4 linked regions of the Elephas maximus indicus genome follow. The protein of the gene in region 2 purifies or fractionates together with the protein of the main gene of each other region. This does not show direct contact. Links are inferred from orthologs where the notes say so. Each region holds a gene or a part of one and is shown on either strand. Other genes may lie near its edges.

Region 1 (7,524 bases), on a different chromosome or scaffold from region 2:
TCTTTTGGCTGAGAATCACAGGATCTCTTTGTAGGTTTGATCCAGTACTAGTGATATAACCACTTCCAATTTAGCTAAAGAGAAATCTCAGATCTAGAACATGCTATGCGTTTACTATTTCATTAGTACCTCCAACTTCTAGTCAATCTAAAATTAATACAGGTAAATTTCCATTATTTTCTTTTTTACTAGAACAAATCTTTTCCATTAAGATCATTAAGTGGCCCTCATAACTTCTTTCCCTCCTCTGACAGAATCTTGTATCTTGGCTTTGAAGCCTAAGAAAAGGTGCTCCTGAAATACTTTCTTAGTCAGACTAATTTTGGTTTGCACTTCATGCCAAGAAACAAAAATAAAATCAAATTTCCTTAAATACACCAAGACAAAGATGGAAATCCTCTACTTATATGGAAAAATTAAGGTTCTTTTTCCTCAGTAGTTGCTCAGAAGATTCAAAATTAAAAAAAAAAAAAGTTTATTTATAAACATGCAAGCTAAGTACCAAACCAAAAAAAAAAAAAAAAAAATGAAATTCGTTGCTGTCAATTTTTTTTTTAAAGAAAATGAAATGGCTTACTATTTCCTAAGTGAGAAGAAAAGCTAATGTTTATCAAACTAAGAGGCCTAAAGAAAATCCAACTGATTATTTTTCAAATCATTTTAGTATCCAATTTCAAGTCAATATTAAGACACATTTTCCTAATAAAAGACAACACTTCTTATAGACACAAAGTTTAAAACAGTTCCAGTATGATTAATAAAAAGAAAACAAAATTTCACATCAATTCATTGATATGCAACGATCAACTTCAGCTATGGGATTAACAATACTACCAAAAGAGGTATGGTTAAAAAAAAAAAATTTTTTTTTTTTAGTTTCCCATAAATTGGGTCCCAGTGTTGGTTATATTCTTGTTTCCCAAAAAAGCATATAGCAGAAAGAAGTCACAAAGCTAATATCTGAAGGACTCTGATTAGCATGAAAGCTACACTACTAATATCTGCTTTGTTCTCATTTAAATTAAACAGTCCTATTAAAAAGGGAAAAAATACACAAGAATGACTCCTCTATCATGTTGTTGTTGTTGCCATCGAGCTGGTTTTGACTCATAGTGACCCTATGCACAACAGAACAAAACACTGACTGGTCGTGCAACACTGCCTGGTCCTGCGCCATCCTCACAATCGTTGTTATGCTTAAGTCCCTTGTTGCAGCCACTGTCACTCCATCTCATTGAGGGTCTTCCTCTTTTTTGCTGACCCTCTGTTTTACCAAGTGTGATGTCCTTCTCCAGGGACTGATCCCTCCTGATAACATGTCCAAAGTATGTGAGACATAGTCTTGTCATCCTTGCTTCTAAGGCACATTCTGGTTGTACTTCTTCCAAGACAGATTTCTTCGTGCTTTTGGCGGTCCGTGGTATATGTAGTATTCTTCGCTAACACCACAATTCTATCATATGGCATATATAATTAACATGCCCTGGTGGCCACAGTGGTTAAGAGCTTGACTGCTAACTAAAAGGTAGGCAGTTCGAATCCACCAGCCACTCTTTGGAAACCCTATGGGGCAGTTGTATTCTGTCCTATAGGATTGCTATGAGTCAGAATCAACTCAGACGGCAATGGGTTTGGTTTTCGTAAGTACATTCCCAACAGCACAAGTGACCTTAAACATTTTGCATACTTGTTTGATTGATGTTATGTTAAATATCAATTTTCTGTACCAAGGGAGACAACAGAAGAAAAAGACAGTAATCTCTTCTTTACGATAAAGAATTCAAAAACAGAGATAAATTGCTTTAAACCCATAGCTTAAAGAATAAAAAGAACTCAAACGACCAACAATTTATCTATCCCCTTACCACATAAGAGATCAAAGTTTAGTGAACAAATAAAACAGGTATTAGCACTAACAGGTAAATAACTTCTAGACACCGAAGTATTGGTTTTATTTTAGCAAGCACATAGAAACACTTTTTTAAAAACCAGTACAACAAAGACTTATACTCCTCTACTTTGACATTCATTCCTTTACTCTTACTTACTAGGACTGGGCAGTTAACAAGAACAACTCACCTCCTTTAGAAAACAAAGAAAATGAGATCTTGAGTTAAAAGGAGATTGTGGGCGAATGACTTAAAAGACAGAAAAGCACTTGTATTTACTGAGGTCCTACTACCTCAACTAAGGATAACTCTTAACTTAGCTCAGTAATATACTCATAAACCTAATTCGCATTTGAATTAGTACAACAAAACCAACACTCCTAAACAGCAACTGGAATGGAGGACAACTTGACGTTCCCTCACATCGGTACCAAACCGCTCTGGCCAATCGCCTTCCCACTCTTCAGTAACCTAAACACACCAGGACTGCGTTCCGGGACGCCGGCGGTATCTCCCGTCAAACACCAGTCACCCCGGGCTCCTGTCACCTCTAGTAAAGACGACCCCATCTCGAGAACACTGCCGGCTAGGGCTCGGTTCGGACTCCGGGAAACCCGGGGGTGGAGGTCGGGGGGAACCGTCTTCTAAACAAGGCTGTTAGGGCTCGGAGTCCTGGGGTAGCCCTGGTGCCAGAAGGGGTGACTCTGGGGCAGGAGCCGCGACTTCCCTCGGGATTCCTGCTGAGGGAACCAGGACGGCATTCGAGGGACCTGGGCTCCTGGGCTTTCCGCGTGACGCCAGGTCGAACCGAGCAGCTTTGTACGGCACCGGGCCGTCCACAGCGACGGGACGGGATACCCGGCAGTGTACCGCGGAGGAAGGGCGGGACGGCGGGAGCCCCACTGCCGGAAGGGGCGAGCCCCGCAAGCAGGGCTCCCGCCCTGGCCAGACTCACCTTCAGGTCGTTCTCCGGCAGGTACTTGCACAGTCGCGCTATCTCTACATACTTGTCCAGGTCTAGGGGCGCCATTTTAGAAAAAAGAAGCCGCAAAGGCGGCGGCGGCAGCGGCGACTGTAGCAGCGGCGGCAGCGGCAGAGGCCGAAGCCGGAACTCTTCTACGTCACGTCCGGCCGTGAGAGAGGCGTCTGCGCAGCAACGTTAAAGCTCGACCTGATTCCTCATGCTGCCTGGGCACGGCTCACGCCCTCTCTGGCTGCACGCAGGCTGCAGGACCTTAGAGCCCCCGGCCCGGCGACCGAAAGTGGCCGGGGTTGTAGTTGTCTGCCGCGGGGAATGCTGGGGTTTGTAGTTTGTATTTGTGACCATCTATTCCTCTTTTCTTTCCCGTCTCTCCCTCTAGACTTTCACCTCTGGGTACCCGGCAAGGATTTTCCAATGAAAAACGGCAAAGTAAGCTTCCCTATCCATTTCCTGGTTTCTCATTCCGACCATTCTAAGTACTTGCCTCTCTGTCTTACCAGAACATCTCCAGTTAAAAATTGGGTAAGCTTAGCCATGGTAACCTGTTTGCACCTTTCCGAGGCCTTGTGAAAACCTTGCCTAAACCTGTGGCAGAGATGTCAGGCTCCCAATCTTCCCTTCCTGGAAGAATGGAAAACAAATATTCAAATATTTCTTATGCTAAATGCTTTACAGATGCTGTTATTCCACTGAATCCTCATAATGATTCATAGGAAACAGGAGAGGTTAAGGAACCTTCCCAAAATGGCACAGGGAATACCTGCCAGAGCCGAGATTGAAAAATAGGTCTGCTGGCTTAAACATACTTCAGTGTGAGTCTCAGGAGGGCAGGGACAGATATATACAGAGAGTCACTCATCGCTTAATGTCCACCGTACATTCTGTGGAATAGGACATTATATGATTTAGACATGCAGACACCATTTTATATACTGTCACTCTGTTTTTAAAAACCTTAAAGCCTGGCACTGACTTGGTTTCCTTAAGGATGAAAGCCCATTCAGGCATTTGCTTCCAGAATAAAGAGGTTTTGTCCATAATACAATTTTGCTGGGGCAAATAACCTCCCTGTACTATTAGTTTATCTAAGGTTTCAACAAATTCTTCTGCTGCCTTTGTATCAGCACTCACAGACTCACCATTCACTTTAACACTATGCGGCGAAAACCATTGTCTGAAGCATGTGAACCACCCAGAGCTAGCACTAAACTCAGCATTGTAGTCTGGTCCTGCTTTTTCGTTAAGCATCTCGAACAAACTTTGTACCTTAGCAGTGATCATCAGTGTGCTGGGGGGTTCACTTTTGTGTTTGGTCCTCAATCCATGTCATTAGCAATTTTTCCATATCTGATGTAGATCCCTCTTGCGTTTTCTTTAGCCTTGTAGCTTTCGGTGGAACTGATTCTTTAACAGCTTGAAGAATTTTTTCTATTTGTGAGGATCGTCATGATTGTTGAGAGCAACATGGCTAAATCGTGAGCAAGAGCATTCACTGATTTTCCACCTTAATGTTGTTGTTAAGTAACCTTTTATTTCACTTCCAAATCAATACTTCTCCTTTGCCTCTTACTGCTGCCATTACTAGCACTGGTTTTGTTGCATTTGGGAGCCATGATGCACTGTGTGGTAATATTTTTGAAACAAAATTAAACAGATAACAGTACAACACTCCAGAGATGTGTGATACATGAGATCGGATGCTGCTGCCTACAAGTTGAAGCATACAATGTTATATAATAAAGTTTTTATTGCTAAGTAGGGAAACTTCACATTAAAATGACAATAGGAAGTACAGTACATACATAAGCCATTAACAGGTGTTTACTATGACTATCAAGACATATTGTATGTTATGTATGTACTGTACCATTATACACTTAGCAGAGCAATTGCGTTGTATACAAGAGACATGAGATACATGTGTTATGTACTGGAAGCCATTGCATTCACTACAATGTTCTGTTCTACAATCAGGATTTCTGAACTCTATTATAACCTTATGGGACCGCGGGCATATATATGGTTGAACATTGCCCAAACAGACATTATACGGTTCACGGCTATGTGTATATGTGTGTGTATATAATATATATATGATGCATGACATAGCACATGCTTATATATGTGTGTGTGTGTGTGTGTGTGTGTATATATTTATTTATTTTTTTTTTAATCCCTAGCACCAAGAACAGTAGGGTTGTAGGTGTTTGGGATATTCAGTGAACAAAATAGACAAAGATCCCTACCCTCAACATTTTAGCAGAGGAAAACAGAACATAAACAATAAACATAATAAATAACTATAAAAAAAATGATAAGTACTATAGAGGAGAAACAAACAGGGTAAGGGAGATAGAGTATTGTATTTTTAGAGCCAACAAAGAGATGGGAAGTTAGCCATGCAGCTACTTCGGTGAATTCATAGGAAGAGCTAGTGCAGAAGCCCTAAGACAAGAGTGTATCGAGAGTCTTTGGGAAACAGGAAGTGTGTGCTCGGAGCAAGAGTAGGAGAGAAGATCAGAGGAATGGAGGAAAGGAGAGCATTGATTTTACTTTTAATGGAATGGAAACTATTGCAGGGCTTTGAGCAAAGGAATAACATGATCTAACTTGTTTTTTTAAAGGCTCACTCTGGCTGCTGTATGAAAATGTAGAGAGCAATGGTTACAGCTGAGAGACCAGTTAGAAGACTGTTACATAATACAGTAGTATTCAGTGAGTATTTCTTGTTAAAGTAACCCTGGACTGGATCCTCATGCTCTAAAGTATATTTTTGGTACAATTAGGTAAACTTTAATGAGGTCTCTGCGTGAAGTTCTTTGTATTATTCTTCCAACTGTTCTGTAAATTTGAAGTTGTTTCAAAATAAAATTAATTTTAAAAATAAGTGTTGTTTATAAAGAAAATGTTCTGCATTCTACTTTGGTGAGGAACATCTGGGGTCTTAAAAGCCTGTGAGCAGCCATCTAAGATACTCCACTGGGCTCATCCCTTCGGAGCAAGGGAGAATGAAGAAAACTAAAGACACAGAGAAAGATTAGTCCAAAGGACTAACGGACCACAACTATCATGGCCTCCACCAGCCTGAGCCCAGTACAACTAATGGTGCCCATCTACCACGACTGACTGCTCTGACAGGGATCACAATAGAGGGCCCCAGACAGAGCTGGAGAAAAAATGCAGAACAAATTCTAACTCACAAAAAACGACCAGACTTACTGATCTGAGGGAGACAGGAGAAACCGCAGGAGTGTGGCCCCCGGACAACCTTTTAGCTCAGTAGTGAAGTCGCTCCTGAAGTTCATCCTTCAGCCAAAGATTAAATGGGCCCATAAAACAAAACATTACTAAAGAGGCACACCAGCCCAGGGGCAAGGACTAGAAGGCAGGAGAGGACAGGAAAGCTGGTAATAGGGAACCCAAGGTCAAGAAGGGAGAGTGTTGAGACGTCATGGAGTTGTTAACCAATGTCATAAAACAGTATGTGTACTAACTGTTTAATGAGAAGCTAGTTTGTTCCATAAACCTTCATCTAAAGTTCAAAAAAAAAAAAACTCACTAATTTGGATTAATAGAAATGAAGCTTATACAAGAAATAAATAAATGTTGTTGCAGAATGAATGCTGCCCATAAGCATTCATTTCTTCATTCATAAAACAAATAGTTATATAATGCCCATGATGTGAATAAGACAGCTATGGTCCCTGCCCTTGTGGAGTTTAGAGTTTTCTAGAAGACAAATAATAAGCAAATAAATGAGCAAATATTTCATTGCAAATTATGATTACTGCTAAAAAGGGAAAAAAGGGATATTGCGAGTAAGAAAAATGGAGTAGAAGAGACCGAATTTAGGTTGGCAGTATGGTAGACATAAAGTATACAGACTCTAACACCAAATGGCCTGATTTCAAATCCTGACTCTACCAATTACTGTGTGATTTTGGGCAATGTATTTATCCTCTTTATGCTTTAATTTTCTCAGCTTCAATATAGAGAGGATAATAGTACCAGCCTCTTATGAAGAGACTAGTATTGAGGTTTAGTAGAGTTAATATGTACTTAAAAGTGTTTTGCACAGAGTACAATTTGAGTGTTAGGTCTGAGTATTAGGTGGGAAGGAAGGTCCTTCAGATGAGGTAACATTTAAGACTGAGGAATTTAAGAGAGCTAATATACTAAGAGTTTCTTGGAGAAAAATGTCCCCATTTGGAAATTTTTGTTGCTCCTGTTGTTTGATTTTATTACAGTCCTCTTTGGAGATCTGGCAATTCACTTTTCATCTCTAAACGTCTGGGCAAATAGAGAGATGGATGTGAACATTCTTTATAGACTGTGAAGTGCTTAAAAGGAAAGTGTCACCAGCATCATTGTCTTCCTTTGCTAATGGGTCTGTGAACAGATAGGTAATGAAAGCTGGTGGTATCCCCTTCTAGTGAAAAATAGGTGGCAGTCATCACGTTACCAAACTGGAAGCAAGACGTTCCCTCCTGCTGACCCATCTCACTGAGCAAACCTCATTCCTGACATCCACAATGGAAAGGAAAGAAAAAAGCATCCTCGGGACTGTTGGGTGAGTCCTTGCAAAAAGTGATAGTCACATCTGGTATTGTGGCATGGAGACATTGTGTAGAGCTTGGTGACTAGAATGCATTC
Region 2 (6,825 bases):
ACGACGGTTACGTAACTGTTATATCTGTATAAAAGTCACAAGTCTGAGAACGAGCTTTAAAAAGTCATTTTAAAGGTTAGAATCAGTGAATTAATTGTTTTACCTGAAAGTTAACATCTTCTTTCTTAAATATTAGCGCTTGAACTTCATCAGGATCTCCATTAAATATAGCTTGCACCAGTGATGGCTGAAATATAAGAGAGTAATAAAAACATTAAGTCACACTTACCAAATGGTATCCTAAATCTAAAAATTGTCTTCCCTTTTGAGATAAACCAGAAGTCTTCTGAAGCCAAATCATATTAAAGCACAAGATCCCTTCTTGGAAAAAACGGCCTTTAGAGAAAGAAAACAGGTGCCCTGGGAGAGCAATGGGTAAAGTGCTTAGTGGCTAACCTAAAGACCAGTGGTTCAAACTCACCAGCTGTTCTCAGGGAGGAAAGATCCAGGGATCTGCTCCCATAAAGATTACAACCTGGGAAACCCTATGGCGCAGCTCTACTCTGTCCTATATGGTCGCTAGGAGTTGGAATCGACTTGATGGCACCCAGCAATAGCAAAAAAAAAATACATCACCTCAGCTTGACCTAAATAAGGTGGTATAACAAACACAATTAGATTTTATTTTCTTCCTTTTAAGTTGAAGCCTTTTATTTATACATAAAGTCTTCCAAACGCTAATATGACATCCCAGTATCTACTTGTGGGATACAACTTAAACAAGCAGCTCGCAGCCCATGCTAAAGCCCGTGAAGAAAGGCTTATTCAGGGCATCAAAATAACTTGTATGGGTTAGCACTATATGTATAAACATACAGATCCCAAGAAGGCAAATTTGGCAGTTGATGAAAATACCTGTTATAGAAAAAACAAAAAAAATACATATACCTGAATGGCGTGAAGAGACAAACACGTGCATGGTCTAAATATAACAATTTCCTATTCTACAACACAGTCTCTCTGATTCCATATTATACTAGTGAAAGAAGCCATTAACAAAGCATTAAAAATAAAGTTAAAGATGAAGTTTGGTTCTTTTTCATATAAAGTCTTGCATGTAAATACATAAAATCCATTACAGAAAAGGCCATGCCTCAGTGTTGCTGGTAGTTGTCAAGCTTTCCTAAAACATGCAGAGTTCCTGTTTCTTGTTACATGGGTTTCTGAAACCACATGATGAAAACAGAAACGTGGTTGCCATAACTACTATTTTTCAAAAATCTTTTTAAGACAGTAAAGTCTGAAATGTTATCTAAGCATTTAAAAAATTAAAAATGAGAAACGTGTGTATTTTACACACAAGCAAGACTGCATCACAGTTATGCATCTATAGTGCTTTAATTCAGATTTTTAATTAAACTATTGGAAACTAACTTATGTCTACTCTTAAAAAATAAAATTCCCCCTAATAGTTCAGTAGCATACGGTAAACATATAAACTCTCATATCTTACCAATACATTTCCAGAAGGTAGAGAATGTAGGGATTTATTTTCCTGTGGCAATTTAGAAATGAATGCAGGAGATTCATCTTCTACCTCCTCCAAAACAACAATACACACCCGACTCATTCGCTCTTTTAAAATACTAAATTCAAAGCTATATGGTAAAAGTCACAGTTGGAAGAGCACAAGTAGTTTTTCCTCCTCTTCTGTACAACACTTACAAACATTCTCTGCGAACAGCACAGCTGTTTTTTTTTTTTTTTTAAGTTACTAGGTACTACTGGAAAAACTGAAGTTTAAAATTATGACCACAAGCTTGTAACTTTCTAAAAACAACAAAATTTTATTATTTTCTGCTGGGTTACTGCAATACCTAAAAAGAAATTTCACATTAACATGTCAATAACTAAAACTGAGTCCAGTACAAGCTCACTTAAAAATACTTTTCCCCTGCCAAAATAGTCCTATTGCTCTAAATTTACTTGCACAAAAAGGTCACTGTTTTTGGTGATACAACACCACACGATGTAGAAATGAAATGAGAAACAACCGCTGAGACAGAGATGATCACAGCTATACCCACTCTTGCCTGCAAGGTCATATAGTTACCAGTAGCTGGCTTTCTTATAATTGGAAAAAAAAATCTCACTATTCTGTTTCCACTTCTAATTTGTCTTCATTTCTTCAGCTTCACTGGTTTAATGCAGATACTACCCGGAAAAAAAAAAAAGTATCTAGAGCTCAGCACAAATTCCGAAAATGATGCTTAGAGGTTGACAATTCTTTCTGTGTTTTGGAAGAAAGAAAAGGGGGGAAAAACACCACTCTGCATTAATAGCAAAGCTGCAGTACATTTACATACGATGAGTCAGCCCACAGGGGACAATAGGACTCTTGGTACTAGAATACAGCTTGATTAATCCAGACTTCCCAAATAATAGAAGAAACATGGATAGCTTTATTTCCATCAATAGCATAAGCGAGGCAGATCATTCATTCCTTCTACATCAGGCAGTTGGTCTGTAGCTGCTCCAGCAAAAGGGCACCAGGCAGAAACGGTGTTAGAGGAGAATCCTAATAGAACAAGCAGTCTGCAAAGGAATTAGAAGGCATGTGAGCTCCAATTACGGCTTCAGGCTTTTTCTTAAAAAAGAAAGAGGAGAAAAAGAAAAAGGAAAAAAAAAAAAGGCAGTAGTTTATCACTCCAGTGTTTCCTTTGATCTCCACACGAATACAGCTCCCATTAAATAGTCTTCATTCAGAGGAAAAAAACAGCAGACTGTGCATCTTCTTTGAACCAACTACTTTATTCAATCATCTGCCTCTGTGCCAACAGAGTTTTTCCTTCCACTGTGAAAACCACTTCAGTTATCCTTTTCAGTAGACTTCAGAAGCTTTCCTGCTTCTCAGATGATCTTGCAAAAAACCACGGACACCCCAAATAGTAGGTCCTTCAAAAATTTCTCTACAACCTCAGGATCGGCTCCACAGAAGCATTCCAACTGGGCAACAGTCGGAAGAGCAAAGACTGCAGACCCGCAGGATGAAACGCCTAGTAATGCTCACATGTTACACTTACCAGAGATCTGAGCTACTGCTCAGGATGTAACTTCCTCTAGCAGGAGAAAAAAATAGTGCATTTGGACAGCCTTCACAATTAGACAACTCATGCCAGTTCTGTGACTAATCCAGATCAAACCGAAAAATTCTATAACTGAAAAACGAGTGCGCTTTTAACATTTTCCACTAAAAGCCACAAGGAAATCTGGTGTACTGCCTCTGCTGACTAACACTGGTTTTAGCAAGTAAACAATTCCAAACAGCTTAACCGCTTTCGTATGTTACAATACAGCAAATGTTTAACCCTGTAATGACAGCTGCAGTAAGAACATGTCTGCGGTGAACCCACGAAAAAGATTTAGAAATGAAGACAAACGTTTTATCAGAATACAAAAACCAGGAACCTAGTAAAGGTTTTATTCTTTTTTTTTTTTTTAACTGAGACCATTTTTAACCTAGCAGATGTATGTTATTTCTAAAAACACAAAGTTTAAACAAAAAAATTTATGATTTTTCTAACAACTTTAATTAGTTGAATGTACTCAATCATTAATTCGTATTTTTAGAGTGAAAAATTAAAAATTTCACAATGTAGAAATTCTAACTCTAATATCCTATAAATCATTTGCATTTTAACTGAAGAAATTAACTAAACCTACCTTTCCATCTGGAAAATGGAATAAAGCCTTAAGAATCTGTTAAATAGCTGCACAAAACAACTGTGTAAAGTCCTTGGTACCAAACAATCTGTATGCCAAAAGGGCATAAGATAAACACAAAGAAAACAAAGAATCTCTCTCCCCTATAAAGAATTTCCTCAAAGCTACAAGTGTCCCTAATGAGGATATTTGCCAACAGAAAAATTACAAAGAAAATACCACCGTCCCCTTTAAATCTGTTTTTTCTTTCATCAACATATACTTTTATTAATAAACATAGCTTTTTTTAGACATTTATGACATGTCAGGTGCTGTGTAGTGGTTAAGTGCTACGGTTGCTAAACCAAAGGGTTGGCAGTTCGAATCTGCCAGGCGCTCCTTGGAAACTCTATGGGGCAGGTCTACTCTGTCCTATAGGGTCCCTATGAGTCGGAGCAGACTCGATGGCACTGGGTTTAGGTGCTGTACATTTCCACTTAATACACTCCATAAGCTTGATACATTTCCATATTATAGAGGAAAAACCAGACTCAGAAATTAGGTATTTTATTCAAAGTCATGCAAATTGGTAAAGTTGTGCTAACTCCAAACACGTTTTTTTATTCTGCTTTCATCGTGTGTGTATACACACACACACTCTCTCAAGATTTTTGCTAGCTAAAAAGGCGGTCTCTGTGATGGTCGTGAAAAGTTTAGGTAATAAAGTAATATACTATCTACTGCAATAATATTCCAAAAAGTTATTTTTAAATGGGTGTTTCAGGGCTAGTCTTCACTCACATGTTAAGCAAATTTACTTATCAAAACCATACACGCACATACCCACACACAAAACAGCATCTAAGAATGCCAGAAATTTAATAAAAACCGTTAAAAGCCATAGAATATCAATCTGTGAAAGAGCCTATAAACCTTACATATCTGAACCAAAGTACTAAAACATGTTAACAATTCAGAGAGTTGTATCTTAAAATGTAAAATAGTTTTAAGCCACATTAAAGGCCTGCAAATATCCTGATACACAAAAATGCTATCAACCAGCTCCACAAGGTGAATCAAAAATAACATCTTAATATCTGAAAACGAAACCGTTATAGTAACCATACTCTATATTCTATCTTCAGGATATTTTTCTTTTTAAATAGGCAATTTTAACTTGTTCCAAAGTAGCTAGCGTGTAAATTCACCTACTTAAGACTGAAGCAGGTATATCCTGTTTCTTGTTCTAAGCCAACTTCCATATTTAGGTCTTTCCCAACCACAAAGCAAGCTCCTTGAAGGCAGAGGCTGTGTTATATACATATTGTTTCCTTCTGCTTTCTTCCACCTGGAAATAATTTCATTGAAATAAATTCTACTATGTTGCAAGACTTTAGAATAGAGTGGCAGAATTATAAAGACAATATGCTTTAATGAGAAAACATAAGCATTAATGAGTAATAAAGTGAATTTTATATCTCTATTAAGTGAGCAACTTAAATTTAGTAGCTAATATAAAACAGTGATATAGTTAAAAATAAGGCCTCAGGAGTCAGCCTATCTACAGTTCAAATTCTGACTCCATCATTTACTAGCTGTGTCCCTGGGCAAACTATTTAAATTTCCTGAGCCTCAGTTTCCTCACACTTATAAAATTAGAATAATAATCCCCAGGGATTTTACTGAGGAGAAACAGAGTAACAGCAAAGTGATTGATAATTAAAGCTTTTTTTAATCAAACTGCCTGGATTCCAATCCAGATTCCCACTGTGTGACCTTGAGCAAGTTTAACCTGTGTCTCATTCCAAAATCTATTAAACGACATACATCAACAGAACCTACTTCATGGTGTTGCTGTGAAGTTTAAATAAGATAATCTTGTTATTACAGATATTCAGAGTAGTTGAATGATGTCACTTGTGAAATCAATGAGCAGATATAGGGCTAACCACACACAGGCAGGCACCCATCCTCTTAGTAACTGTGAGGCTAATCAGAACCTCAGAAACCAGACAGAAGTTTACAAGTGTTACTGGGGGTAGGATGGAGGGACCAGTAAACTTAAGAAATAGGACCACAGGTTCTTTACATTCTTCCACATTCATTGTATTTCACAGTCTAGGGAAAGAGAAAGGTCTACCATATATTATATAATCAAAGATAAAAAAAAAAAAATTAAGAGATAAATACTGCATTTTTTAAATTATCTAAGTTAGTAGCACCGTACAGCACTGTTTTATATCTTGTTAACTTCTACTGATTAAGAAAGGCCCCTAACTCACATCTTAAAGGAAAAGGAGAGAGGTACATAAGTAATTAAGAAATTAGGAATGGAGAAAGTACTTCTGATGAAAAATTACTGACAAAGATTGTGTAAACCGTAAGTTCAACTTTTTTTTTCCCCCCCCAGTTAGGGAAATAGCAAGGGGATGTGGTTTTTCTTTAGGTGGTTACTTTTAAAGTCATATTCGTTAGATTAAGTTTTCAATAAGCCAACAAATTCAACCCTGACAATGTCATAATCTTTTCTTTATACTAAAATGTATCCTATTAATAGAGCTTATTCTTACTGTTCATAGACTCACATATTGGTAAAGCTGGCTTAAACCTTCATTTTACTGATGAAAAACTTAAGGCCCTGAAAGACTGTTTTTTTTTTTTTTAATTGTGCTTTAAGTGAAAGTTTACAATTCAAGTCAGTTTCTCATATAAAAACTTATACACACATTGTTATGTGACCCTAGTTGCTCTCCCTACAATGTGACAGCACACTCCTCTCCACCCTGCATTTCGCATGTGAAAGACTATTCTCATGTTCCTATTTTGTTACACAAGCATTTCTTTCTCAGATACAAATAACTTTTTCCTTTTTAAATAAGTCACTGTGATTTTGAGTCTCTGATATTTGGAGCTGAAACTAACACTACCTGATAATCTTATTCTTTAATTGTCAATCAGTGGGCATATATCCTTCTAGCCCTGTTCTTCTACCATCCATACTCAAGTAGGTATAATTACTTAAACTTTCAATAAATAAAATGGGTTAGAGACACTAGTTGCAACAAATTGTGACAAGAACAATGACTGACTAGGAATGGCTTGGAAAGCAGTTCACTGTATTATCATGTCTAAGCAAAGAAAAATCAGCATAGGGAGAAGAAAACATTTATCATAAATACTCAC
Region 3 (7,159 bases), on a different chromosome or scaffold from region 2:
CAAACACAGAAAAAAAAATTCCTGGTGTTAAGTCGATTCCGACTCATAGCGACCCTCTAGGACAGAGCAGAACTGCCCAGTGGGGAGTCCAAGGAACGGCTGGAGGATTTGAACTGCCAACCTTTTTGGTTAGCAGCCTGAGCTCTTAACCACTGTGCCACCAAGGCTCCAGACCAATATATAATACTGCCTCTCAAATACTGAAAACACAAAAGTGGAAGATACAGGTTTATCACAGAAGCCAAATACTGGTCCTGACAAATATTCTGCTTTATAAATAAAAAAGATGGTTTACTTGTAATAAGCACGTTACTGCTGCGCCAAACAGGCAAAAATGTGGCCTCCAACAAACCCCACCCTCCGACAAACCCCGCCCTCCAATAAACCCCACCCTACATCAAGTCTTAATTCTATTACTATTCATTTCCTGTCCAGCTATGGCCAATTCTCCATCAGCAAAATGAAACTAGGGAGTTTGAAGGTTTTTTGCTATACTTTACATAAAAGAAGTCAAAGCTTTCTAAACCCAAAAACAATCTTTTTCCTGTTCTTGAGTCCTGATACAGCAGCAAGTTGCTCATCTCTTCTAGGCACAGGAAAACACACTTCTCCAGCGCAGCCAAGCAAGCTGGATCCCAAGCAACCACCACCCAGGGAAGGCAAGCAGGGCTCTGGGCACCACACTGGAGAAGAACACAGGGCGTTAAGTAAGACTGTAAGGGTATGTGTGACTGGGTGGCTGACATCTTGTAAAACATCCTAGACTCCCTGATCAGACAGGGACAAAATAGCTTTCCAAGTATCCATTATCAAGGACTAGAATTATTTCCCAAACTATCCTCACTGAAGTATATCTCAATACCCAGTAACCTTTCAACATCTTAGCTGTGTTAATCCAAATCTCAGTTAACAACCTACGGGGTCCACTGAGAAACGCCTGAGTTACTTATTTGGCGCCGAATACTGACTCGCCAGTCACACTCGTAAATGGTATCCAGAAGCACAGGAGGAACAGAGTCCCACTCAAGCTCTTGACAGGCTCTTCTGTATTTAACCACCTGGTACAGAGAACATCCTGAGACAGGCCACCAATTGCTCTGGCAAAGTATGTAGCTGAATCTCCAACTACCCCTTCCCAGAAAAAATGACAATAACTTCCAGTTCACTTTCCCAGTTCCAACGAGCTCCTAATACACAGAGCTTTCTGAAGATGGTTACCAAGAGCCAGGGCTTAAGCACTCATCTGACTTCTTAAATCACTGCCATGGAACTGATTACAACTCACAGCGACCCTGTCTGACAGCAGAACTGCCCCACAGGGTTTCCAAGGCTGTGATCTTTATGGAAGCAGACTGTCAGATTTTTCTCCCTTGGAGTGGCTAGCGGATTAGAATTGCTGGCCTTTCAGTTCGCAGCCCAGCACTTAACCACTGTGCCATCAGGGCTCCTTCGACTTCCTAACAGTATCTAAATATTTAAAAATCAAATTTAAATTAATAATAGCCACAAATTACTGCGCTGATTCTATGTGCTAAGCACAGTTCTAAGTGCTTCATATGTATTAAATCATTTACGCCCAACAACCTTGTGAGGTAGACACTATTATTATTTCCATATTTCAAAGGAAACAGAGAGGTTGAGCAACTTGCCCAAGGTCACAGAGCAAGAAAGTGGTCAAGCACTGGAGTTAGAATCCAGACAGTCTAACTTCAGAGTGAAGAAAGCTCAACCACCACGGCTAACCGCGTATCACACACTTGCTACTGAGGGCACATTGCAAGGGCGGAAACCTGGAGTCCCTTTCCCACTTGTTGTCCATTTCCAACCTGACCTTGAGGACAAAATCAAAGTACCCGTCCCATTAATTAAATGGGATAATATCGACCTTAACAAGAGCTGCGAGGATGAGAGAAATCAACCACAAAGTGCCCCTCCCATAAACCCAACACAGAAACCACAGCTCGACCCGTCTACGGAGAAAACGTCCAGAACCGAGGAAATTCCATGAAGTTATGAAGCTAAGGAGTCAGGACGCAGAGGTCCACCCTTTAAAGGCTCGTTCTGTCCACTGCCTGTAATCAAAGCCAGCAGGACCCAGCTAGGAGGCACGACCTCCGAGTTAGCAAGGACCGGGGCTATAGGGTCGCTAGGAGTCGGACAGAGGGTCTGGTCTTTTTGGTTTGGGGCTTCTTTAAGAGGGAGGAACTCCCAGCCACAGGAGGACCATCCCCCAGGCTCGCACTCGCCCGGGAGGCGTTCGCGACCAGGTCTGCGTTCGAGTCACAGCAGCGGAGTCTGAGATCACCTGGAAAGGCGTCTAAATACCCCGAAGGGACCCGCGCGGCTCTCCCGACTCTGCGGCGAATTACCTGGAACCGACAAAACTTGTCTCCCGGGGAGCGGGGTCCAACAATGGCCTTCGCGCATCGCCCCCGAGCTGCTGCCGCTCCCGCGGCCCGACCGACAAGTTCCCAGGGAGCGGCGGCCGGGCCCGGGACTCCGGGGACCCCCAGGCCCCGCGCGGGACCCCGGGCGGCGCTCCGGGCGGCGGGACGCCTGGAGCCGGAGCCCCGAGAAGAGCGCGCCTCCGCTGGCCGCCTCGCCCGCCCGCCGCCGCCGCCGCCGCGCAGGCCGCGCCCGTCCGGGCGGGAGCAGAACTGCCCGCCGGGCTCGCCGCCCGCCCTCGGCCCGGCCCGACGGGGCCTCGGCGGGGAGCGCGGCCTGACAGGGCGGCCGAGGACGGCCGGAGGACTCGCCGCCTCCGGGCCGCGGGGCGAGCTTATTCCGGGGGGGAGGGGAAGAGGGACCGGACGCTCCTGCCCGCGCCCCGAGACCCGGCCGAGAGCCCCGCCGCGCGCCCCCTGCGCCGCGGCCCGCCCGCCGCCTCCCCCCGCGGTTACCTGGAGGTGCCCGCGACCTGCCGCAAGTCGCGCTCAGGCGGGAAACGCGCTCACCGACACCATCAGCGAAGCGCCCAAAATGGCGGACGTATCAAGCAGGCCTTGAGCTCCCCGCCCTCCCTCCGGCCGCCTCGCCGCCAATCGCCGCTCTGCCCCGCCCCCAGCTCAACGCGCATTGGCCTGCCTTCCCCGCCCCCTGCGGCCTATTGGGTGGGTCCTCAGCTCCGCGGCCTCCACTCCGATTGGCCTGTGGAAGGCATCAGTCAAGTGCGAAGGGCGCATTCTTTTCCCATGGACTTGACGGATCCGGAACCTCTAGAACCCTGGAGCCTGAGAAACAAATCAGAAACCAGGAGAAGCCTGGTGGAATCCCCCTGCGCCATAGCAACAGCAGGGACTCCGCCTGACGGACGTTGCTGACCACCAATCCGAGGAAACAATGCCTTTTAAAACTGAATGGAGCCAAACCAATCCTGGCCGCGGGCATCGGGCGGCAGGGGAGCCAATGGATGAACCCGATGTCCAGGGGCGGGGACGCGGCCACGGGGACGCGAATGATGACGTGAGCGCTATGTGCTTCCCGGCGACGGAAATGGGTCAGAGCTGGGGAATTAGCTCAAGTGGTAGAGCGCTCGCTTAGCATGTGAGAGGTAGCGGGATCGATGCCCGCATTCTCCACGCTGCATTTTGTAAAAAGGTGCCGTTGGCCATTCATCCGCGCCAAGGGGCAGTGCCGGGATTCGGGTCAAGGTGGAAAGCTGGCTTTCCCTCTCTCGCTGTGGCGCCCACCTCCGCGGGGGAAAGCAGGACTGATGGGGTGGCGTGTCCCTTTTGTCGTCGAGAAGGATTTACACTCGAGTGGCTCACAGAACCGCCGGGGCTCCTCCTCCCCGAGAGGCTTCCCGGCCACAGGACCCCCTTTCCTTCCGGTGAACCGGCCCGAGACACCCACGAGTCCCGGGCGCCCGCCGTCGGCGCTTCCTAACAACCTGCCTTGTCCCAGCGTGGACTGGAGGCGCCTTTCAGAGTCGCACGGAAATCAACAAGAGGGCAACAGTTAGAAACAGGAGATGAAAAGGACAAACAAGGTCCGCCGAGTGGAGTCGGATGCGAGGTCGCACCCCAAGGATGTGCTTGGGATGGGGACCTCAGCAGGCAGGCTGGCCTGTCCGTTCGTGCAGCAGCTCTGTACTGGGCGCTGCGGGTGTGCAAGGACTGTGGGGTACAGGGGCGCAGACGTCCTCGCGCCTCGGACACTCAGTCCGCAGCCAGAGAAACATCAGGGAAGCCGACCGGCTGGTGGCAGAGAGTGCTGGACGCCCTTCCGAGGAGGTGACATTTCCACCAAAGCCCGCAGGACAGGAGGGACAAGCCGTGGGCTCTTGGGTCGGGCGTGGCAGGGATTGAGACCCGCGCAGAGACCCCAAGGTGGGGCTTTGGAGTGCTCACGGTACAGAGGAAGCTGGGGGTGGCAGGAGAGGGACAGGACAGGAAGAGTGGCAGTGGTGAGCAATGGGGCAGGGTCACGGAGACCTCTTAGAACAGTGCCACAGGCCTGGGGGAACTCAACAGCCCCTGAGGCGCATTACTCAGAGGACTCCGGGCCTGGAACCACAGAGGGGGCTCCAGGCAGGGGGCTGGCAGGTCTCCCCCAGCCTCTGCCAGCAGCTGCTCCTGTAGTGCCAGCTTGGTCTTTCCAGGTCAAATAGGGTACCTGGGTGACTGAGACTTCCCCAGGCTGCCTCCAGGGGTAGAACTTGGCCACTGCAGGTGGGGGCGGGGGCAGGACCAGCCGAGTGGGTGCCACGCTGCGTCTTCCGCCTCCAACCTCCTTTGGTTCTGATCGCCTACCTACCTCTGGGCTCAGTATCTGTCTGCACCCCTGCCCTCGCTCCTTACACAGGCCCCAGCTGGCCTGAACTCGTCCAGCTCACTGAAGAGTCTGGTACTGCAGGGCGAATCTGGCCCAACTTGGCTTGTTGGGTCAGCTCCGGGGAACCGGGTCTCTGGAGCAAACATGGGCACACCTCCCCAGCTCAGCCCTTCGGCAGACCCTGTGGCTGGAGGCAAACTCTCCAGGAGGAGCTGGTTGCCGACAGCTCCAGAACAATGTCTTTGTTCCCGTTTTACAGATTAGTTAGCTGAGGCCTGGAGAGCATTTAGGAGTACCTGGTGGAGTCAAAATCGACCCCACCGCAAAGGGTTTCTTTTTTTGTTTTGTTTTGTTTTGTTTTTGTGCTTTAGATGATGGTTTACTGACCAAGTTAGTTTTTCATTAAACAATTAATACACATATTGTTCTGACATTGGTTGCTGACCCCACATGTCAACACTCCCCTTCTTGGCCTTGGCTTTCCCATTACCAGCTTTCCAAGCCCCTCCTGCTTTCTCATCCTTGCCCCTGGGTTGGTGTGCTCATTTAGTCTCCTTTCACTGTATGGGCCTGTCTAATCTTCAGCCGAAGGGTGAACCTCAGGGGTGACTTCAGTACTGAGTTAAATGGGTGTCTGGGGGCCATACTATTGGGGTTTCTCCAGTAAGTCTGATCTTTCTTTGTGAGTTAGAATTTTATTCTACATTTTTACCCAGGTCTGTTCAGGACCCTGTATTGTGATCCTTGTTGGTGGTGGTAGCCAGGCGCCATCTAGTTGTGCTGGACTCAGTCTGGTGGCAGGTTTGGGTTTTTCTTGTTTGTTTGGATGGTGCAAAGGAGCCCTGGTGATGTAGTAGTTAAAAGCTTAGCTGCCAACCAAAAGGTCAGCAGTTTGAACCCACCAGCTTCTCCTTGGAAACCACGTGGAACAGTTATAGTCTGCCCTACTGGGTCACTATGAGTTGGAATTGACTCAACGGCAACGGGCTTGGCTTGGGTAGTACAAAAGGAGCCCTGGTGATGCAGTGGCTAAAGCGCTCAGCTGTTAACCTAAAAGTTGGCAATTCGAACCCACCAGCAGCTCTGCAGGAGAATGATGTGGCAGTTCACTTCCATAACGATTTACAGCCTTGGAAACCCTATGGGCAGTTCTCCGTGTCCTTTAGGGTCTCTATGAGTGAGAATCGACTCAACAGCAGTGGGTTTGGTTTAGTTTTTTGTGTGGTACAAATGGTTAATCACTGGGCTACTGACAGGAAGGTTCGCTGTTTGAACGTACCCAGAGGCACCTCAGAATAAAGACCTGACAATCTGCTTCCGAAAGGTCACAGACTTGAAAACCCTGTGGAGTGCATTTCTACCGTGCAACACTCGGGGTCACCAGGAGTCAGAATTGAATGGACAGCAACTGGTTTGGTTTTTTTAGGAAGCATTTGGGCACCAAGTGCTACCCAAGTGGCTGGGTGATCTAACTTCTCTGACTTTATGGTTTTTATGTGTAAAGTGCAGGTGGTAACATCAACCAGCCTGTGCCCAAGCCCTGAGGGTGCTGGGCCTCTAGGGAGGCAGAAACCAAGGGCAGATGTTGCTCACACTGACTCTGCTGCTCACTGAGGCTAGTGAGGGACACAGTCAAGAAGGAAACAGATTCAGAAGGTGTGCTCAGTGCAGGGGAGGGCTAGGGACGGTGTGTCACAGATAACCCGGGGCGGGGTGGAGCAGTGTGGGAAATGCACTTTTTTGGAGGACAGGGCTGGGGATGGCAGCGGGGTTGGGGCTGGGAGAGGGGTTGGGGATGAGAATAAGAATAGGAATCAGGTCGGGAACCAGCCAGGGAGTCCTTGGAGGACAGGGGAGGAAATTTGGGGTTTATGCTCAGACGGGAAGCCAGAGAAAGCTTCAGAGCAGGAGAGGGACCTGTTCAGGGCTGCCCATACTTCAGGAAGGTCAGGTTGGAGCAAGAGTAACAGGGGGTGGCACAGGAGTCCAGGCCAGAGGGCCTGGTCCAGGGAGCACAAGAGGGGCTCCAGGGAACCCTAGGGCACCTAAGGGAAGCTGGGCAGGGGGCAGGAGGGACAGCTCAGTTGGCGTCTGACATCTGCCCTGCCCTCCTGGGGGGCCTGGGGAGGTCCCAGCCACCACTGATTTACCCACATCGATTTACTCACTCAGGGAGTCCCTGGGTGGTGCGAACGGTTAAGTGCTGGACTATTAACCAACAGGTTGGAGGTTCAAACCCACCCAAAGGGGCCTCGGCAGTAAGGCCTGGCAGTGTGCTTCCAGAAGGTGACAGCCTTGGAAACCCTTCAGAACCCCGCCGCTCTGCACACATGATGTCGCCACAAGTCAGAATCGATGGCGACTCACAGCGTTGACTCGTCATCAT
Region 4 (7,218 bases), on a different chromosome or scaffold from region 2:
CTTCTCTGCACCCCCACCCCCATCCTTTGCAACTTTCAGCAACTTCTAGAAAGCGGAAGTGACTACCAATGGTTTTCAGCAACCGTTTGAAAACCATGACTCTGGCTGTAAACGGAAGAAGGGGGATTTATAAATGAGAAAGGAGGCCATGAAAAACGAAAACTACCTCTGTAACTCTCCCTCTGCCAGGTCCTCACCATCACCTCTCGTTCCTCCTCCTGCTTTGTTTCCTGAGGCCTTCAACACCAGCTGCCTTCCTTCTCTGGAGCCTGCAGGCCCTGCCCCAGGCTCAGGCAGGGCCTAGCTACAGCTCCCAAAGAGCCGTCCCGCTGGCTGCTGTAGTCCAAACACAGCTCTGGCTGCCAGGGAACCCAGCCGATTCTTCCCCACCACCCGTCTTTCCTGCCCTGGCCCCAAGGCACCCGGAAGTGGGGGTGAAGGGCCCAGGGGCCGCTGGGAGGGCCTCCCAGGACAGGCCACCTGAAGGGCCCTATGCCTCGGCAAGCGGGATCAGAGGGCAGAGAAGGCCAGTTTGGGCCTCAGGAGAGGGCACCGCAGGCCACTGATCCGCCTCCACTGCAGAGATGACAGGCCCACGGGCTGCCGCTCTAATTAGAAACTGGCTGGGCAAGTCCAAGTGCGGGGAAGAGAACCTGCTTGCAGCGGACGGCAGCCTGGGCCCAGCCCCTTAAAGGGCCCGGCGGCAGCAGGGCAGCTCAGAGGATGGCAGGAGAGCCTCCCGCCAACTTCCCCCTCACCCAGCCAGCACCCAGGGTCTGAGGGGAGGTCAGGTCACCCGATGCCAATGCCAGGACTGGAAGGGGCTTCCCATGGGATGGAACAACGACCCCAGCAACTTCCAAGTTAGGGCCCATAGGGCTGCCACCACCCTGGCAAGGTAGGCATCGGGGACAGCCACTAATGAAAAGGGGTCACTGAGGCCAGAGGAGCAAAAGGACCTGGCCAAGGTTACACAGAATGACAAGCTGAGACCAGGCTGGGGCTGGGAGCCTTGAGGCTTTAGAAAGCCTGGGGACGGGGGTCATTCCCCGTTAGGGGGTACCTCCCCTATGCCTTCTGGATCACACCTTCCCAGCGGAGGTGCCAGCTCTGCCTGACCCCAGGGGATGAAGAAATTGGGAGACAGAAGCAACTGCTGAGAACTGGTAGGGGGGATTCCAATGTTCACATTCTGGACTCATCTCTTGCATTGGCCACAGGTTTGGAAAAAAGACAAGATCAAAGAATATACTCTAAGACGGAGAGCCCTTGGAAAAGCAGAGCGGGCAGAGTGCTACAGCCTCAGGAGCCTCCAGGGCAGTTAAGTCAGGAAGGTCTGGGTGCGGCAAATCTCACCTGCCCAAACTCAATCTACAACAGGTGGCAGAGCACCACTGGCCTCTGTCTCCCCATCTATGAAACCCCTCACAGGGCTACCATCAGGCAGCACTTCCCAGCGAAGGACCCACAAAGCTGGTGCTCAAAGGAAGACACTTGGTTTGGGGTGGGAAGGGGATTATGCCCCCCAGCCAACAAGCCATGTGCCAGGCAGTTGGGGAAGGCAACCCACTGGAGCCTCCAAGCCTCTCACCTCTCTCTTGCTGCAACCCACATGGCTCTCAAAATTCAGCCGCACGCATCCCTTCCTCTCTGCCCTGCACGTGCAGCTCCCTCTGCCTCTCCTCTAGTTCTCTGACCAGGCACCTCCTCCAGGAAGCCACCGCGCCCCCCACGATATCACTGGGGGCCTGTGTCTATGGCCACCCCTCAGCCAGCACCGGGGTGCTCAGTGATGCAATTTGCCTGTTTAGTCATCCGTACGCCCTTGAAGGGGCTGGTTCCCCAGGACCCAGAGCAAGGCCAGGCCCAGAGAAGAGCTCAGGGCACTTGCTAAATTAGCAAAGGCTAAAGTCCAGAGGGGGAGGGTGAAGGTCCCTGGGTGGTGCACACAGCTGGGTTGGCAGTTTGAACCCACCCAGTAGGTACTGTGTAAGAAACAGGCCTAGCAATCTGCTTTAATAAAGATTACAGCCAAGAAACCCTTCGGGGCAGTTTCTACTCTGTAACACATAGGGTTCTCCTAAGTCACAAACCAACGACAAAAACAAAATCAACATCAGCGGGGGAAGATGATCTGCTGAGGTCACTTGACCAGAGAGCCTGAATAAAAAAATCTGAGGGGTGGAGGACGAGGGGGAGTAGATATACCTCAAACGGAAAGCAACAGTAGCTGGGCCAACAGAGGCTAACTACCGAAAAAAAGAAAGGTAAATCCAAACACATGATGATGCACAGAGCCACACAGCCACTGACAGGTAGCAAAAAAGTAGATAAGCCCAACTACACCCAAACAAGAAATTATGGCTTCCCCACCTTGGCGCTGTTAACATTTTGGGCTGGTTGATTCTTTGCCTCCCACCACCTGTCTGTCAGCTTGTCGTAGTGCAGTGGCCTGCATGTTGCTAAGATGCTGGAAGCTACGCCACTGGTATTTCAAATACCGGCAGGGTCACCCATAATGTACAGGTTTCAGTGGAGCGTTCAGGCTAAGACTAGGAAGAAAGGCCTGGTGATCTATGTCTGAAAAGTAGCCAACGAAATCCCTATGGATCACAACAGAATCCTGTCCAATACGGAGCTGGAAGATGAGCCCCCTAGGTTGGAAGGCACTCAAAACACACATTGGCCACAACTATGGACTCAAACATGCCAAGATCATGAAGATGACATAAGGCTGGGCAACATTTCATTCTTTTGTACATGGGGTCGCCATGAGTTGGAGTCAACTGAACAGCAACTAACAACAATCCTCTGTCATGCAGAGCTATCCTGTCCATCCTAAGATGTTTAGCAACATCCCTGACCTTGACCCGGTAGAGGCCAGTAGCACCCTCCCCCTAGTTGTGACAATCAAAAATGTCTCCAGATGTGGCCAAGTGTACCCTGGGGCACAATCACCCCCAGCTGAGAAATGCTGCAATAGATGATCCCAAGCCAGATATAATAATCACAGGAGCAACTGATCCTGGAGCAGCTTCTTTACCTTGCATTCTGCTATGAGCTTCTACATACGTCAAGCTTAACCCCTGGAACAACCCCATGAGGAGGGCACTTTGTCCCCACTCTACAGATGAGGAAGAGAAGGCACAGAGCTTCTGATCAGCATGTCCACAGTCACCCCACTAGCAAGTGGGACAGCCAGAACTTGAACCTAGGTCTGTCCAACAAAAGAGCTCACTCTAAACTATTAGCCTTCACTGCCTCCCAAATGTGGTGTAAAACTCCAGAAAACAAGTCACGTGGTCTCATTTAATTTACACAAAATGATGCTGCAGTAGAAAAAAGCTTTAAAAAAGAAAGAGAACAGAGAAAATAACATTTTAAATAGAGCAAGTAAAACCAACTGCCATTCCACGTGGTAAGTGCGTGTCCCAGGGTGTGGTGGCCGTTTCTACACGTACATGTTAGCATACAGGATATGTACACAAACCACACACGCTGTATTCTCCAGATAATTCTGAGTCACTGCCATTGTCACCTTGTGAGAGCCGAGGTGGAACCTCTTCCTCAAGTTGGCTGCAACCCTGCTGCAGTTTTGCTAAGCTCTAACCAAGTCCCACATCTGACAACACACCTTCCTTTCCAGAAACATCTTGCTTTCCAGGCTGGTGTAAATGGTAACGCCTGTGTCCTCAAACAGGGGTGTGTGTGTACATGGTACAGGAAGGAGCAGGAAGGACCCTCGCCAGAACACCACCTCCAAGGTAACCAGCTCCAGCTCTAGGTGTTTTGCCCACTCCCCCCAACATATACCCTCTCTCAGACCCTCCAACACCCCCACCTTCACGTATCTGCACTGGTTGTTCCTTCCACCCGGAATGCCCTTCTTCCCACTCTCCATCTGTCAACTCCCACTCAACCTTCCTCGACAGAAAAGCCACTGGCTTGGCCAGTCCTGCCAGTCCCTGCCCCTCCCTGGGCTCCCGCAGTGGTGCCCTGAGTTACCTCTATCACCACACACAGTAATTGTGACTGCCCAGCTCTGCCTTTGTCTCCCCAGGGACCCATCCCTCCTTCAGGGCAGCGTCCCCTCTCTGGGTCCAGCACCAGTACCCCACCCTGCCCTCAGAAACAGGCCTCCTCTCAAAAACAGGACCCGCCCCAGAGAACGCGGGCTCCCAGATCCCTCCTCACAACCAGAAGCCAAAGACCACCAGGTACGGGGGACCCACAGCCAGGGTAAAGGGAAAGCGCCACTACTTTATGTCCTGAGCCCAAGGATCAGAATGAACAGGGACCAGTGAATCCAGGAAGGCAGGAAGGAGGGCAAAGGCATGACGCAAAAGAATGGGGGCAAGAGAGAAGAGTCTCAGTAGTAAGAGATGGGGGTGCCTGAGGAGACAGACTACTGAGGGGGGCAGGCTCAAGGGGGAAGAGACTGGGAGCGGGGGTGAGTCCCAGAGAGGAGTAGGTATGGTGGAAGGGGGTGGGTTGGAGGGGCAAGTGACTGGGGCAGGGGGAATGAGTACGAGAGGGAAGAAGGGGATGAGGTGAGGAAGAAAGAGACTAAGAGACTGGGGGGATGGGAGAGAGGAAGAAGAGACTGGGGGATAGGTGAATCTGAGGGAGGAAGGAGGTGACAGAGTGGCAATGAAGCAGAGCAGGGAGGGACTATGAGACTGGAGGGACCTAGGGGGAAGGAAGAGGTAAGCTGGGGATGAGCTGGACGGAGAAAAGATGGGGGGGGTGAGTCTGAGAGGGAAAGAAGGTGGTGGGTGGGTGGGTGAGAAAAGAAGAGGAGGGGAATGAATCCGAAAAAGAATAAAAAGATAGTGGTCTGGCGGTGAACCACAGGGGAAGAGACTAACAGACTGGGGAGGCCGAGTGGGAAGAGGGAGGTGGGCTGGGAATAGGCCAAAGAAAAGAAATGGAGACTTTAGGCGAGACGGTGGACGCTGAGGTGACACAGACTAGGGGGAAGCCCAAAGAAGGAACGGAAGAGGCCCGAGGAGAAAGATGGGGGGTGGCCCGGACAGGGAAGAGACTGGGGAGCCCCGAGGGGTACTTTGGTAAGGCTCTAGAGGGCCCGGGGCGGGGGGAGCGGAGACTCGGGAGGCCTGGACTCCGGGGAAGGGTCCCGGGATCCGGCCGGCTCACCTGCTCGGGGGGGCGGCGGCTCCTCGCACTCGGGGCTCATCGGGGCGCCCCCCCCGCCCCGCTGCAGGCGGCTCCGGCCCCTGCTCAGGGACCCGGTAAGTGGGGGCGGGGGGCGACGCAGTGGTCTCGCGGGGCGCTCGGTGCGCAGGCGCTTCAGTCGGGGGTTTGCGCGGCGCGCACGCGCCCTCTGATCAATGGGGGGCCCCGCGTGCCTAGCTCCGCTGAGTTCGGGGGTAAGCGCGGGGTTCGTTGGGTGGGGAGGTCACGGGACCCGCGCAGGCACCTCCGGGGTTCGACGACTGAAGCCGCGGGCAGCGAGCTGGGCTGAGAAGTCTGAGCGAGGGAACGGGACGTCGCCCCGGTTTCCTCAGCCCTGCACCCCGTGGAAAAGCAGAGGGCAGGCGGGGAAGATGTCCTCCTCTGTGGCCCGAACGCAGTGCGGAGCGGCCACCGACGGAAGCCGAGGCCCACTTCCTCAACCCTCCTTTCCCCAAACCAGCGGAGGTCCGGGGCGTCCGCACTCCGGCTACTCCGACGCCCAGCCGCTCTCCACCACTATCCCACAATCCCCCGAGCGCCGAGAACGCTACAGGCCCCGCCCTCCCGCGGCTTCTCCGTGCGCAGGTGCGCCGCGGCCGCGCCCCGTAGTGCGCATGCGTGTCGGGCCCAGGCGTTCCCCGCCCCGCCCGCCCGGAATGCCGCTGCTGTCACAGCCCCGCTTGCGCCAGTTTCTGCCAACGGTCTCTCCCCGGATAAACCCAGGCGGCCCGGTGCGCAGGCGCCACTGCAGCAAAACCAAACCCAACCCACCGCCGTTCAGTCAGTTCCGGCTCTTGCCGACCCTATCAGACAGAGTAGACCTGCCCCAAAGGGTTTCCAAGGCTGTGACCTTGACTGAACCCGACTGCCACATCTTTATCCCGCGGAGCGGCTGGTGGGTTTGAACCGATGACCTTTCTGTTAGGAGCCCAGCGCTTAACCACTTTTACACCACCAGGGCACACCCAGGAGCCAATTTCTCTACGATTCCATTCTAGAGTCCAATAGGAATGCTGCCCCGGGTTTTCTCTTCTCCTTTGGAAATTCGTCAGCTCTGTCACATAGGGTCGTTATGAGTCGAAATGGACTGGACGGAAACGGGTTTGTTTTTTGTTTTTTTGTATCCTCGATCTTCTCCAACTATATACCGACTCTGGCTCCAGGGTCGCGCTGCTGGGAAATCCATCCCGGGCTTTCCCTCTTGGAAGCAATCTAGCCTTTCTCTCCAACCAAACTAAGGTGGTTTGACCTCACCCTATTTATTCTCTCTCTGTCGGGTCGCTGTGAGTCGGAATCAACCGGAGGCAACGGGCTTGGTTTTTTGTTTGTTTGTTTCTCTGTTGACATCTCCTCTGGGCCTGACTTCAGTCATTCTCTGTTCCTAGTCGCTGCACAAAGCCTTTTGTAATGGGAAGCGTTCTTCTAGACCTTGCCAGTATTCTTTAAGACCCATCTGACTCAGCTGTAGTTTCCCCAATATTCTTGTTGTTAGGTGCCTTGGAGTAGCCCCACGAGACGGAGTAGAACTGCCTGGTAGGATTTTCCAGGCTGTAATTTTTTCATTGTACTTTAGATGAAGATTTACAGAACAAACTAGCTTCTCATTAAACAATTAGTACACATACTGTTTTGTAACGTTGGTTGCCAACCCCGTGACATGTCAATACTCTCCCCTTCTTGACTTTGGCTTCCCTATCACCAGCTTTCCTGTCCCTTCTTGCCTTCTCATCCTTGCTCCTGGGCTGATGTGCCCATTTAGTCTCGTTTTGTTTTGTGGGCCTGTCTACAATCTTTGGCTGAAGGGCGAACCTCAGGAGGGACTTCATTATTGAGCTAACAGGGTGTACAAGGGCCGTACTCTCGGGGTTTCTGCAGTCTCTGTCATACCAGTAAGTCTGATCTTTTGTGTGTGTGCATTAGAATTTTGTTCTACATTTTTCTCCAGCTCTGTCCCGGACCCTCTATTGTGATCCCTGTCAAAGCAGTCAGTGGTAGCTGGGCACCATCTAATTGTGCTGGACT

The links.
Region 1: the proteins of ANKRD28 (region 2) and PPP6C purify together in Homo sapiens (affinity purification with mass spectrometry; 9 studies listed by BioGRID and IntAct, with this or other methods). This does not show direct contact. The link is inferred for Elephas maximus indicus from reciprocal best matches to the Homo sapiens genes ANKRD28 and PPP6C.
Region 3: the proteins of ANKRD28 (region 2) and PPP6R3 purify together in Homo sapiens (co-immunoprecipitation; 3 studies listed by BioGRID and IntAct, with this or other methods). This does not show direct contact. The link is inferred for Elephas maximus indicus from reciprocal best matches to the Homo sapiens genes ANKRD28 and PPP6R3.
Region 4: the proteins of ANKRD28 (region 2) and PPP6R1 purify together in Homo sapiens (co-immunoprecipitation; 4 studies listed by BioGRID and IntAct, with this or other methods). This does not show direct contact. The link is inferred for Elephas maximus indicus from reciprocal best matches to the Homo sapiens genes ANKRD28 and PPP6R1.

What each region holds. Positions count from the first base shown.
Region 1 is NC_064827.1:76,190,050-76,197,573, forward strand, and holds the start of PPP6C (serine/threonine-protein phosphatase 6 catalytic subunit), read right to left. Parts: upstream 3,017-7,524; 5' UTR 2,920-3,016; coding exon 2,845-2,919; intron 1-2,844.
Region 2 is NC_064845.1:36,545,111-36,551,935, forward strand, and holds the start of ANKRD28 (serine/threonine-protein phosphatase 6 regulatory ankyrin repeat subunit A), read right to left. Parts: upstream 3,017-6,825; 5' UTR 1,571-3,016; coding exon 1,454-1,570; intron 188-1,453; coding exon 104-187; intron 1-103. UniProt on the Homo sapiens protein: Regulatory subunit of protein phosphatase 6 (PP6) that may be involved in the recognition of phosphoprotein substrates. Involved in the PP6-mediated dephosphorylation of NFKBIE opposing its degradation in response to TNF-alpha.
Region 3 is NC_064825.1:131,203,596-131,210,754, reverse strand, and holds the start of PPP6R3 (serine/threonine-protein phosphatase 6 regulatory subunit 3), read right to left. Parts: upstream 3,020-7,159; 5' UTR 2,901-3,019; intron 1-2,900.
Region 4 is NC_064829.1:91,749,380-91,756,597, reverse strand, and holds the start of PPP6R1 (serine/threonine-protein phosphatase 6 regulatory subunit 1), read right to left. Parts: upstream 3,018-7,218; 5' UTR 201-3,017; coding exon 198-200; exon of another isoform or gene 167-197; intron 1-166. UniProt on the Homo sapiens protein: Regulatory subunit of protein phosphatase 6 (PP6). May function as a scaffolding PP6 subunit. Involved in the PP6-mediated dephosphorylation of NFKBIE opposing its degradation in response to TNF-alpha.